Drosophila melanogaster: one gene and its partner. The protein of the gene in region 1 interacts with the protein of each later gene in a pairwise test. Each region holds a gene or a part of one and is shown in the gene's direction. Other genes may lie near its edges.

What was found. Proteins that work in one complex are often made in the same cells at the same time.
Region 2: the proteins of dsx (region 1) and Mst84Dd interact in binary tests that used the Drosophila melanogaster proteins (3 or more experiments, as listed by UniProt).

Annotation. Positions count from the first base shown.
Region 1 is NT_033777.3:7,962,886-7,970,925, reverse strand, and holds the start of dsx (doublesex), read left to right. Parts: upstream 1-3,517; 5' UTR 3,518-4,463; intron 4,464-8,040. UniProt on the Drosophila melanogaster protein: Controls somatic sexual differentiation. Binds directly and specifically to the FBE (fat body enhancer) of the yolk protein 1 and 2 genes (Yp1 and Yp2).
Region 2 is NT_033777.3:7,361,674-7,367,396, reverse strand, and holds Mst84Dd (Male-specific RNA 84Dd), read left to right. Parts: upstream 1-3,623; 5' UTR 3,624-3,706; intron 3,707-3,758; 5' UTR 3,759-3,780; coding exon 3,781-3,999; 3' UTR 4,000-4,090; downstream 4,091-5,723. Other genes in the region: Mst84Da (Male-specific RNA 84Da), read right to left, coding at 1,218-1,370, 1,426-1,464; Mst84Db (Male-specific RNA 84Db), read left to right, coding at 1,892-2,116; Mst84Dc (Male-specific RNA 84Dc), read left to right, coding at 2,868-3,035; CG17944 (uncharacterized protein), read left to right, coding at 5,366-5,723.

The DNA of each region.
Region 1 (8,040 bases):
TCCCCCAATGTCCAGTGCCTGCTCTCGACTGTTTTTCAATTTGCATGCAAGCGTAAATTACTCTCGGCTCGAGACCCCTTAACCCCTTCCTGGAACATCGGACCCTCTCCCCGCACGGATTCCGCCCGCTGGTCGGTTAAAAGGTTTGTCCTTTGGTTGTGTTCTATATGCAGATTGCCATCGCTGTCGAGGACTGCTCCGTTCTTGCTCCTCCTTTTGGTGTGCCTGACGGAATCTTGTGCCTGACTGCTTTAAATAACTCTGCGTATCTTGGTTATGAACATAAAACACGTTTTTTGGCACCCCATTTGTCATTAAGCTACCAATTTGCTCGGCTTCAAAAACATCTCAAATTTCCCACCAATCGAACGAGAGGGGGGAGCTGAAAATTAGCCAGGTTAAAAGCCCAAAGAAGTGAGATCAAAAAGCAAGCGATGAGGACGAGGATGGCGAGCCTTTCCCGACGCCGGCCCAAAACTGATAAACACACAAATCTTTAAGACCGCAATTTAAAATTTTGAAATGCATTTTAATTGAGATGTTTCGTAAGTTAAAACAATTTACTTACTGCTGTGTATTTAAACAAAATAATTAACTATAACAAGGATAGCTTGAAAACATTATTTGAAAATCCGATTAGGGCTGCACAAGTGCTCTTTTCTGTGGAATTTAACCATCCACTTGTTTAGTTAAGTGTGGTGTAATCAAAATTGTTTTACATGAACTCCGAAAATTTCCCCATTAATCTTGAATAGCAACTTTAACAATTTCACGGAAGCAGTTTTGACTTCGTGTACATATTCACCCGATCCGTTCGGTGGAAATGCAAACTGACAGCGGTTGATATACATTTGCGATCTGGGCGCCAGACTTGTGTACGATTCGCATGCCTAAGCAACTCGACTGGCTACCCAGTTAAACAGGAGAAAAAATTGGCGATATAGTGAGGATTTTTATGGTTGTACGCAAAAATTGTGATATCTCTGGTAAATATGATTTATAAACTAAAATGAAATATTCCTTATTTTTCATTTGAATACAAATTGCTATTACTCTTTTTCAAAAGCATGATTCATTAAAAAATATGGTAATTCAAGGAAAGTTTGGTTATAAAATTCTAAAAATATTCTATGGTAATAACTTCTTCCGCCACTTTCGACCTAAAGTAATACATTCAAAGTAGATGCAATTTTTCTCAGTGTACTTATCTACCCACTACCGCAAACTAAGCCGAAAGACCTCCTTCCGAGTCGCTAACAATGTACAACAACTTGTAGAATGGCCATAACAATTATAAAACACGAACACGAGTCGCTCGCGGGGAATTGCGATTGCAATGGTAGGCAGCGGGGTGAGGTGTCTGCGGAGGCAGACTGCGGTTGGCAACTTGGATTACCTTTATCTGGCTGCCGGGTCATCCGGAGAATTCTGCGCCCAGCACTTGGCAGCATTCCCCGATGTCGTCGCTGTGTCGTGTATCTTTGGTGCGGCTTTCGAGGTGACAACTGCGACAGCTAAACGTCAATTTGTATAAATGTTTGCAATTGCCACCGATGCGTCGGTTGTGGTGAGTGTGGAGTTGTTAAAAATAAAACACACTGAACGCTGATGATCGATGCGGGGGTCGCAAAGGTCCTACAAGGAAAAAAGAGTATCTGTCAGATGCAGAGAGTGGAACTGGGAGCAAGAGAGCAGATCATAAATAAATATTTCCTTAGCAATTTGCATTTTTTCTGACCGCCCGAGTGTTTGTTGTTTGCCGTTCTGCCCCAAGTTTGTTGGCGTTTTTTGAGAGCGCACTCGGCCAAACGAGTTTCGATTCGGATGCGTATCCGCGAGATACTCTTCCCGCGCCGCTCTTTGCTAATTGATTTATGAGATTGCAAATGCAGATGCCCCCAGCCAAGCTCTTTCGACACTCCGCCATAAAAAGGGCTAAAATTTGTGCGATCCAAGGTACAAGAAATGGTGCAAGAAATGCGCCTTTAAAGCTATGTGAATTTTATCGTTCTACAATCGGCACGGGATCAATTGGTGAAGATGTAAATCGGATTTGGATGAAAAATGTATCCCCTTGCCTATGCAATATATACAGTTTCATGCAAATCAATGACAAAGCCTTCCGCTCTCACTTTCGTAAACATTTTTTAAATAATATGTTGTAGTACCCTAGTATGCAATTATATTAAGTTTTCACATTACCTCGATGATATTGATAGTTAATATAATAAGTAAGTAATTTTCTTTAAATTCAATTTTTGTATGAGCAAGTCAAAATAATTACATAAATTCATTAAATTTAAGTCACTTTATCACTTCATTTATTTAAATATTAAATTAATAACTTTTGTCTCTGAAACACTAAACGAGAATCAAAAACGGTTAATTAATGAGTATTATCTTAATGTTTTCTGATCGCTGAGCCATTCATTCCCCTACAATTTGGTCACCAATGGGAAACTACTGAAGTACCGAAGGCCCTTTCGAAATCGATTCACTGCCCAAAAATCGAACTCTCGACCATTTTTGGTTACCTTTTTGGGAGTTGCGTGCATCGCCTGAGGGAAGTATCTTTTAATGGAGCCGAGCTTCGGCAAAATTATCTCCGCCGTACTGTATAAACGATCCTGACTAATATAACGGCTGACGATGAAAGGGGACCTTTCAATGTGATAAATGCGAGTGCGACACACGCAAATCGCTGCGTCTAAAGGTGGCATAAATACGCGGCGCAGGCCGAAACCCAGCTGAGTGGTTCGACCTATATCGTCGGCTAGACGCCCAAACCCGATTCGATGCTCCCCATATCTGGCGCTTCTTCTTCTCGCGCCACGCGGAAAGAGAACGGAAGAGAGAGAGAGAGCGACCAGAGTGCAAATTTACGATCGGCACATGCAGGCGGGAGACGTCAATGTACGGCAACAAAGTTGCTCCACTCGAGCTTCTCGCAGAGATTCGCAAAAAAACACGCGAACTTCAAGAGAGAATCGCTCAGAGAGGAAGAGCACGTCTTCGATGTTTTATGCTCCCCATTAATGGGGCAAATGCACTTTACACTCTCGCAGACCCGTTTCTCTCCGTAACTCTCTGTTGCCCAAGATGCTTTCGTTTGAGTTCTTCACATACCAACGTTGCTTCGAGCTTATGAGTTTGCTAAAAATCGTGGGAACCGATGAAAGAAATGCCCTTCTATCGTATAAATGTTTCTGTTTAAAAACTATTTACTTAGTATTTAAAATAATTGACCGTTTTTCGTATTTCACATATTAAATAGCAACACAGAAGTAATGAATATTTTAAAACATTTTCCGTTCAAATACATAATTTTTTAAAATACATTTTATTTGGCTGATATTAGCGGAAATTAGCCCTTAAAAGTATGCAACGCAGGTAAGGAGAATTAAGTATCCGCAGTGCGGAACCTATATTTTTCGCGGCGAATTTAGCTCATATTACATACGATTTAATAGTTTGCAATACTTTTTTATAGTTCATAGTTCATATTGTAAGAATTGTGTTTAAATTATGTTATTTTTAGCATGGTTTACTTATGGAAAAGAGCATAGTTAAGGGTTTACAATGAAAACGGTCAAATAAGGGTATCCATATCTGGTACCAAACCAATTTGCTTTCTCCCAGTTGATGTGCAGTGCATCCAGCAGTCGAGCAGGTTGGATGCTCGCACTCGTTTCTTTTTTCGCGGTGCAGCAACCAGAGTGCAAATACAAATAGCAAGAGCGTTGCGTCGCCAGTCGGTGGGCCCGTCTCTGTGCCAGAAACACATGCTCAGTTTTAGGTCCGCCCGTCCGCCTGAATGTCCGTGTATCTGTCCGCTGTCTTTTGGTCTGCTAGTCGGACTGGTACTGGTCCGAGTGTTAGTATCGTGCACGGGGAGCTTTAGCTTTGTGGCCGCAACCAGTTTGCTGGCATCGATCGTCCTTTGCAGGTCGTGCATGTCGCGTTGGCGTCTCGCGCCGTCCGCGTTCCGTGCTCGAAATCACAATCTCAAGCTGAAGTGAAAAGAACTGGAGCGGATTCGGTACAAAATTCTGTGCGATAGTTTTTAGTTGCTGTGCGAGGTCCGAAAATATCTCTAAAATGCGTTGACCTACAGGGAACCAGATCGAGCCGCGAGTGCCATGCTAAACAAAGTCGTTTGCGGCTACAGCTTGTACGGTTTAAGATAACAAATAAAAGAAATAAATTTTTACCGGCTTCACACTCTCACTCTCGGTCCACGAAGCACTCCTGACCGTCTCGTACCCAGCCGATCGGACTCCCCGTATCTCATCGAGTTCGCCGAGTGCTAGTGCTATATTCTCTCACTTTGCTTGCATAACCAAGAGCAAAGCACACCTCGCGGAGGCAGATCGCAGATGCAGATACAGATACATATACTGCTAGTGGTCTAGTAGTGGACCTGGAGATACTCTAGCGAGTGCATGCAATTGGCATTGTACCTGGTAAGTGAACGATGAGTTACGAGCGCTCTGCGGCCAAAATGTGCCACCACTCCGCTCCGTTTTGCCACCTTTTTGCCCGGCATTTGGGGGCGTTGCAAACTGCCTTGTAATTGCCTGACATAAATGCTCGTGTGTACAAGGCTTAATGGCGATAGCAGCAGGTACGCTCAGCGATTGCCATCTACAACTGGCGGTATGACTGCTGAATGGGGGGGAGCCAGGGGTTCAGGCTATTGTCTGACTTCCAAATTAAACAGGAAACGAGCAACAGGTCGCGTTTTACAGCCACACTATGAGACTCCCGCATTAGTTTCTAAGATTGGGATAGCGTAGGCCATTGCCATTGTCGTTTGCGATCGGCTATCCTAGATGACTGCATACATATAAGGCAAATTGGACCAAGGTCTAAGTGGTTATGAGGAAAATGCAAATGACAAATACGGAAACCAACTGGCTTAAAACGATAAACACGTGCTGAATATTTTTATTCAAATTAAAGTTGAAGCGAAGGCGTTTCTTGTTAATTTTAAAGCTTACCATCGATTATTCACGAGTGCTGCAATTATAAAAAATATATGTAAATTAGAACTTAAATTTTTGCCAATGCTCATTGTGTATAGCGCGAAAGGACAGTTTACCTTTAATATTTTGTGTTATCTTGGGGATAATTATTCATTTCTTTTGGCTATTATTCTTGTCATTTGTAGTCGAAATAACATAGTTAGCCTTGCTAAGTTAAAACTCATATTTTAGTGGGCGTAAGAGATCATTAGTAGAAACTGCAGCTTGCTTTCACTCACGAAATCTCGACTTTCATGAAGACGGATGACGCAAATGGCAAGATCGAGTACACCTGTCTGTAGTCTTAAAAAAAAAGGTATAAGAACCTAGCATGCCGTTTGACTCCTCAGCAAACATGCAGACTTTTTACTCATAGATTTATATTAAGTAAGTTATTAAACCATATTAGCAAGACGAATATTTTAGTATAATATAAATCTGAGCTTGGTACATTTTCCCAAGAATATATACAAATATAAAATACCTGTAAATGCATTTTTCTTAGTGCACAGTTATAATGATCTGTACTCAACTTTTTAAGCTGCACCCCACTTGCAATTATCATATAATCGACTTAAGGTGCTTTTGCCATTTATAACGCCGAGCTGTCCTTGGCCCATTAATAACCTGAAGTGGGTTCTTATCGTGATCTCTTCCGCTTTAGACAAATTAATTGAGCATACATGCGCAAGCTGCACATTTTTTATGCTCGCCCGTAATCAATTTAATCCGCTTTTCCTTTGGCAACTTTGACCACTGTTTCCCTGCTTATATTTGTCATTATTTCCACCAAACACAAATATTGAAAACTGATAGCCAGCAGGGTCTTTCTCTTAAAGTGGCTCTTCGGAGGAATTATTTCTCTGCGGGTCTCTCAGCTCATACAAATTAGAGGCGACATGCAAGATAAGCAATCTTGTGCAGTTTTTAAACACACAGGCAAAATAACAACATTTTGCCGTGGCCAGCGGGAGGCGGTGGAAGAAGGGGGCGGGTATCTGGTGCTAGCACGAATGTGAGACCCGTTATCAGCACATCGTTCATGCTCAATTTACCCTCCATTTAAATACAGGGTATTAACTCTTTAGACTCCGAAATTAAGTCATTACAGCAAACGAAAATTGAGACAGACAAACGCTCACACTACATGTCACCTAGCTAATAGATTAAAATTCTCATCGATACTGGCTTTCGTCTATGTCACATATATTTCTCCCTATCTTTCGTTCATTAGGTTCTAATCAATCGTCAAACATTTTGAGTGTGAATCTGTGTGCATAGGCAAGTTCAATGAGTCACCATAATGTCAAACTAAGTGCAAATTAGATTAAACACGAATCAAACACGCCAGCAGGTGTGGAGAAAGTGGACAAGAAGTGTAGAAGAATCTTATATTCCCTATCTATATAATATAGAAATATTAACCACATTCTTCCCATGTATACTTTTTACTTATATTACTTATATTATTTGGTTTTTTTATTATTGATATGTAATTGATTGATGTAAAGCTTTTTTTATTTTTGTGCTTTAGAGGGCCATTTATCGATTTACGAGTATCAACATATTTATAGGCTTAACTTATTTAAGCAGGTAACAATATTTTGGTTCTTTAAGTTTGAGTAAACCCATTAAATTAAAAAAAATGTTTTTTAGAATTCCTCTTTTCCATTAATTGTTATTATATTTTAATATCTTTCTAAAATTGTTATATATCATATGTATATATGTATATAATATATTTACGCACATACATAAGTTAAAAGAGTAATAGAAATGCCACGAATTGCACTTTTATTTCCAACCTAGTTAGATAAGAAGTATATACATATACTATATTTCAATGCCATACCTCTAAAACCCATTTCCAATAGCCCACTTGAAACCATTTCCTCGTATGTAGTGGTTATCGACTGACTGACTGTATATAAATGATTGGAGCTCCTTTGTTAGGTAGTTGCACAAGCCTCTAGAAGACCATTATACCGGAGTACCGTCCACAAATATCCACATCACTCACACGCCCTTTAGAACGAAAAACTAAGCAAAACAAATGCAATAAAATTCGCAGCGCAAAGCGGGCAAGCAGAAATGCAAAAAAGCAATTAAGAGGCGGAAGGCGAAACTAAGACTACGTCGAGCGCACTGCAACTCGAACACAAACAAGTTGCAAGGCGACTGCAACCGGCATCACAACACACTCCAACATTCACAAGTGCAGGGAAAGCAGCGACACCAACGAATCGACAACAACAACGCCAGCCAATGTGTGTGAGGCTGCCTATGTACTAGTCCGTCCGTTTGTCTGCGCGAGTGTGTGTGTGTTTGCTGCATGTGCCAGTATGGTGTATGGTGTATTGGTGTGCAGCCCCCACATTTCTCCAAATGCACGCAACGTCGACGCTGCACAGTGGAGCCAAATCATAGGGCTTTATTCACAAATATTGAAGCCTCCTACATATAAAAAGATATTTTCTGAACTTTTACTTATGTTTTCATGTGTTTCACAGTTACAGTCTTGGGAGTTCAGGAGAAAAACTCTTTTCGATCCACGTTAAACTTAAAAGACGACGATTTTTGAAAACTGGTAACATAGAATAAATCCTAAATTCAAGTAATGAATGGTTCCTTTGGTAATTTGAAGAGACCATAATACGATTTGTTACTTCCTTGGTCCCTTGTTAAAGCTATTTTAGACCAATGAATTAAATAAATCCAACTTCAAGAAATCCAACAAATTCAAGAAATAAATAGTTTCTTTTAAAATATGAAGAAAACGTAATACTAAAAAAATAAATAAAATAAATAAAATTGGAAGCCCAGCGTTACTCAAGCATCCGTCCAAACTCGCAGGATTATCAAGGACTTTCGGCCCACTGTGGCTCAGTTTGGTGCGCTGCTCTTGCTCTCTCGATGCGATTTTCGGTTCCGTTTCGTTGGCGGTGCCCGCTTCCACGCAAACACAGGCAAACATCGCACAAACACCAGCCAACTGGCGCACACACACACCATCGCA
Region 2 (5,723 bases), 600 kb from region 1:
TCCTGAGTTACCTTAAGAAAAATTCAATTAAAACTAAACTTTCTGGGAATCCCTGGAATTGCGACTGTAAGTCGAGATCAGTCCTTTCCATTTTGAGAGATCACGAACCCCTTGAGTATGACGTCACGTTGAAACGTTGCAATATATCTCCAACGGATTGTCCAGATGTTTGTGTCTGCTGCTTGGATAACTTGACATGGCCATCATTTATTGTCGATTGCAGAGGAGAAGGACTTCTACAGATGCCTTCACTTTCAAGCAGGGTTACCTATGTGGACCTAAGGAATAACAACCTTACGGCCCTGTCACAGAAGAATCGTTCTTCTATCGAGAACAGATCGTTAAAGCTGCATTTGCTTGACAATCCCTGGTCTTGTTCTTGCAACGATATAGAAAAGATAAATTTCATGAAGAGTGTGTCTTCAAGTATAGTAGACTTCACTGAGATAAAGTGCAGTAATGGTGAGAAGCTAGTCTCGATTAATCAGCATATTGTGTGTCCATCTGACCTCTTTTATTATTTGGCACTCGCGATCTCCCTAGTGGCCACGATCATTGCCTTAAACTTTTTGATATGGTTCAGACAACCGGTCCTGGTCTGGTTCTATGAGCACGGTGTGTGTCTCAGTCTGTCAGCCAAGCGGGAACTTGATAAGGACAAAAGGTTCGATGCCTTTCTGGCGTTTACCCATAAGGACGAGGCTCTGCTGGAGGAGTTCGTGGATAGGCTGGAACGTGGTAGGCCCAGGTTCCAACTCTGCTTCTACCTGCGAGACTGGCTGGCGGGCGAATCTATTCCCGATTGCATTGGTCAATCTATAAAGGACTCGCGGCGCATTATTGTCCTCATGACAGAGAACTTTATGAATTCCACTTGGGGTCGCCTCGAGTTCCGACTGGCCCTCCACGCCACCTCACGCGATCGGTGCAAGCGTCTGATAGTGGTGCTCTATCCAAACGTGAAGAACTTCGACAGTCTGGATAGCGAGCTAAGGACCTACATGGCATTTAACACCTATCTGGAGAGAAGCCATCCGAACTTTTGGAACAAGCTGATTTACTCGATGCCGCTACTACCAAGCTACGTTGACTAGGACATTACATTATTAATTTCAATAAGAAACAAAAATATATAATTTGTTGTCTCCCACACAGTTTATTTTTTGAGATTTACATAGTTCCCGGAAGTATTCCGACAGGTTTCCGGGTCAACTGGTTTAGCAGCAAGGACCGCAACCGCAAAAACTGCTGGTGCCGCCGCAGCAAGGTCCACATCCTCCGCAAGGACCACAGCAGGGGCCACACCCACCACAGCAGGGGCCACATCCACCACAGGGTCCGCATCCGCCGCAGGGGCCACAGCAGGGGCCCTGATAAATCATATTAAAAGTATTCACTCGACTTACGAGACCGATAAATACATACCCCAACCAAAACGTAATTCGGGTTGACGTACATGTACATGATTTTGTTTCTTAAAAGATATTTCCCAACCGGAATCGAAAGGAACCGAAAATTTAGGTGTTAACTATTGAAGGTGGAACGGAGAACTGACTGAATGTGATCCAAATTAGCCGAAGCTTCATTTGACAGCAGTCATGAGAATTTCAAGGCTAATATGATCCGACAAATTATATTCATTATTATTATTATATTCTGGTATCCCAAAACCCATAATCTAGTTAGCTATGGATATTTTCGACAGTTGTCAAATTCATATACCAACTTGTGAGTCAGGTTTCCATCATTCTTATTTTGGTTCTCGGCCTGTAATCATCGAAATATTTTTTCGTCCTAAGTTATTTCTTTGTTAGGTTCAAAGTGAGTATTTCTCAAAGTGTAAGCATGCGAAGTTTTAACAAAATTTTTCTTAGAACTTTACGGAACCATCATGTGTTGCGGACCCCTTGGATTCTGCGGACCCTGTAGCCCGTGCGGCGGTCCTTGCGGACCTTGCGGACCCTGTGGTCCTTGCGGTTCCTGCTGTAGTCCTTGTGGATCTTGCTGTGCGCCTTGCGGCCCTTGCGGTCCTTGCGGTCCTTGCTGCGGGGGCTGTGGTCCATGCGGGCCTTGTGGACCTTGCTGTGGACCTTGTAGGCCATATTGCGGGTGCTGAACAACAACCACAACATGTAAAATATCTTTTTCCTGTGAACCACAAAGTGGAACTTAGGACTGAATGCGGATAAACTCTTCTTAGCTCGCGGGCCTAGTCAATAAAATAAGAATTTCAAAATACCTTTTCCGATGGTTTTTCTCTTCTAAATGGTGCAACCTTTGTCTTAGCTATGGATACCAAATGCGTGACAATAATAATTTATGTAATATAATTGCGAAAATTAAAATTGTCAATTCTTGGTGGATTGCGATCGTTAGAGGGGGCGGAGGAACATCCTACGTTCATATCGACTAGGCTTGTGATCCAGCTCAAGAATAAATAACCTTTTCTTCTATTCACTATAGCATAGCTATTACTCTACGAGTGGCGGGTATAAAACCTGCAACCGTGAATTTAAACCTCATTCAATAATAGTATTTGTCTGCAAACGGACAAATGTCCGATAACAATAATTCTATAACAATAATAACTATTTTTAACCATCAACCGCTGTACATAAACATAATTCGAATTCATAGTAGGCTATGGAAATCGTTCTTGACCTGTCAGACCCACCTAACCTTGTAAGTTCGGAAAATATATCATTCTCATCTCGACCCTTGTGCTGCTCGCATCAAAATTTTGTTGTTTTGTCCCAAATACTTGTTTTTTTTTTTTGGCTTCTAAAGACCGTTGGTAAAAATGTTTATTGTAAAGTTAAAATAGTATACATATTTATTTCGTTTATTTTAGACTTCTCGAATTAATCATGTGCTGTGGACCTTGTGGATCGTGCTGCGGATATTACTGCTGTGGTCCCTGCTGTGGACCTTGTGGACCCCGATGTGGGCCGTGCGGATCCTGCTGTGGACCCTGTGGACCCTGTGGACCTTGTTGCGGACCATTTGGCAGTTGTTGCGGTGGCTGTTGGTGCTAAATGCTCGCAATTGGCAGCCGAATCGATTTGTGAAACCATACCACAATCCCACCATGGTTAAACTAACACCTGAAAGTTAAAAGCCACAAATATATATATATGTATCTTAATGCAGATCCATGTTATCATTGGGATAGTTCACCATTGCTCTTACTCGGCGTTACTCGTTGACATAATAGGAATGCGTTTCGTAATATGTATGTGGGTGTAGGTTTCTTGATCAGGAACACTAGCCGGATACTAAGCGAGCAGATTGTATTGCGCTGCGAGCACAAGTTGCTATATGGAAATGGTTGAGACGTTCTTGGTAATACCATTTTATTTTACACGAATGACGTCTCAAGGTGATTGATTCTGCCTTCCGACGAGCTTCACTAGGACGTTCTTTGTTGTTCCCATCTGGATCAGTTGTACTGCTTGCTACGGCAGGACATTTTCTTAAGCACGTTATTGTAAAATTCACTAAAGAACAAAATTAAATTCCTTTTAGGGCATTGATATAAAATTTTTATTAATTTTGCATTTGTTTATTTTAAATCTAGAAGGCTTTGAATCTATATTCTACTTTCCTGTGCAAGTTCTATGTAAGCAAACATCAGTTTTCATCTTTCCCTTAACCCAAGAACATCAAAATTTGAGCTCTTTTCCAAGCTTTTTAGGTTCAGCACTTTGTACGTAGTTTTTTATTTAAGAAAATTGTTGGTATAATAGCTTTTCTTTTAGTTCTCAGAAATTAAAAAAAAACATGGGCTGTGCACCGGGCGGACCTTGCTGCGGACCCTGTGGACCGTGTTGCGGACCCTGTTGTGGACCCTGTTGTGGACCCTGTTGTGGACCCTGTTGTGGACCTTGCGGGCCCTGCTGTGGCCCCTGTGGACCTCGTTGTGGCCCTTGCGGACCCTGTGGACCGTGCTGTGGCACTATGGAAAAACGAAATGGCCTTCAGCGGTGCTGTCCTTTTTAGCTGTGATTTCCCGAATAAGCAACCAAACTGTGTCCAAAAAAAGATTTCATTAGTCTATTGTGACAAATAAAGGGGAACTATGAAAACTATCAAATTAATGGATCTTAGCAGGGAGCCAATGTAATCATTGCAATTTCATTCATTCACACTCCGTACAAGAACTATAAAGATTACTGCTTTTCCTCTGCTACCTTTGCTTCACAAGCCGATGACGAATGACAAGCCAATCCAAAAAGGCAGTAGCTGAAGAGAGAAGCAATCTCCATAGGACAATCACCATAGGACAATAGACCAGGCTAACACTGAAGCCTGCGGCAATACATTCACACACGTAATAGTTGCATTGGGCTTAAAAGGAGCAGTTGGTTTATGCCAACATGCTCAGGTAATTGGGACGATGCAGTTGGAAAATAAAAAGTAATCCTGCCCTTGCAGCAATTAAATTAGCCAAATAGGGGATGTTAATTAGTGTCAAGTACCTTGAAGTAAATGGTGCCAAAAGAGGCGTGGCCGAGGCCAATCAAAATGATTTCCAAGCAATGTTACTCATACGCCCCATGTAGCTGGTCCCAGTCAATTATTAATGGCTGCTCGGCGCGAGTGCAGACTGCTGACATCTCAATTCAGGCGAATTGTTTATAGTATGCAAGCAATAGGATGCCAGAGGAATATCTGGGGAACTGATTTTCATCATTCATTTCGCCAGTCGACTTTTCCACTTTCCACGCTGAATAATGAAGGCAGCCATTTTAAGTGTGCGCCTGCGAGGCACTGGCTCTCCCGATGACGCAGTTAAGGGAATTCTCGGATATGTAAGCTTCTAGCATTTAGGCCTCATACAAATGTATAGCGCATCCTGTTATATGAGTAGCAGACGAGCAGGATAATCAAGTTCCGGAAGGGGTCGAATTAGAGCTGCCTGCCAGAATCGCAGTCGAAACGCTTAATCAGTGCTATATGCAAGTGTAATCCTAGAACTCGCATATGCCGCAGCCGACTATTGCTGTACTCAGGGAATTCGGGGTCAATCCCTGCAGAAATGTTCGTACCAATTCAGAATATATGTAGAAGTTAAAAATCTGCGGTTTTGATACTTTAATACTTTCTCAATATACTAGAGCACTATATAAGTCCTAACTCCTCATACAGATATATATATTTTGGATCATGTGAAAAGTTTGTAAAGTTTAAATATAAAGTTGAGAAATATTTTGTAAATGCCTTGAAATAACACTTTGAAATATATTTTCTAATCTCAGTTAGCCAGTTTAGTGGACAGTTGAATTGTCCCACCCAAAATTTTTTGTTTCCATCAGCTGTGTAAGGCCCGGTCATCGGACTTCGATCACCAGAAATTTCCGCGGCTATGAGCGAAGAAATCAGAACAAATCCTCCGAGAATGTGGAGCAGGTCTAGTCCGTCCCGCGTCGTAGAAGCCGCGATGATTGGGGATGGTCCGCATGTGTTACTACCACGTCAAAACAACCCAAATCAGCCAATTTCGACGGCAGCAAATCAACGTCCCCGAACATCAACGTCCCGACGATTGAAGTTTCTGAGAAAAATGGCGTTCAGCAACAAAATAAGGAGCTTTGGAGGACCTGCATCCAGGTTTGGTTCCCTTTCGCACTCGGATTTCGGAATGAGACGAGAACTGCGAGGCGATTTCCATTGGCCGATGATAGAGAGCTGGCTTGAGTTTCCCACCTATAATAATGAGGTAG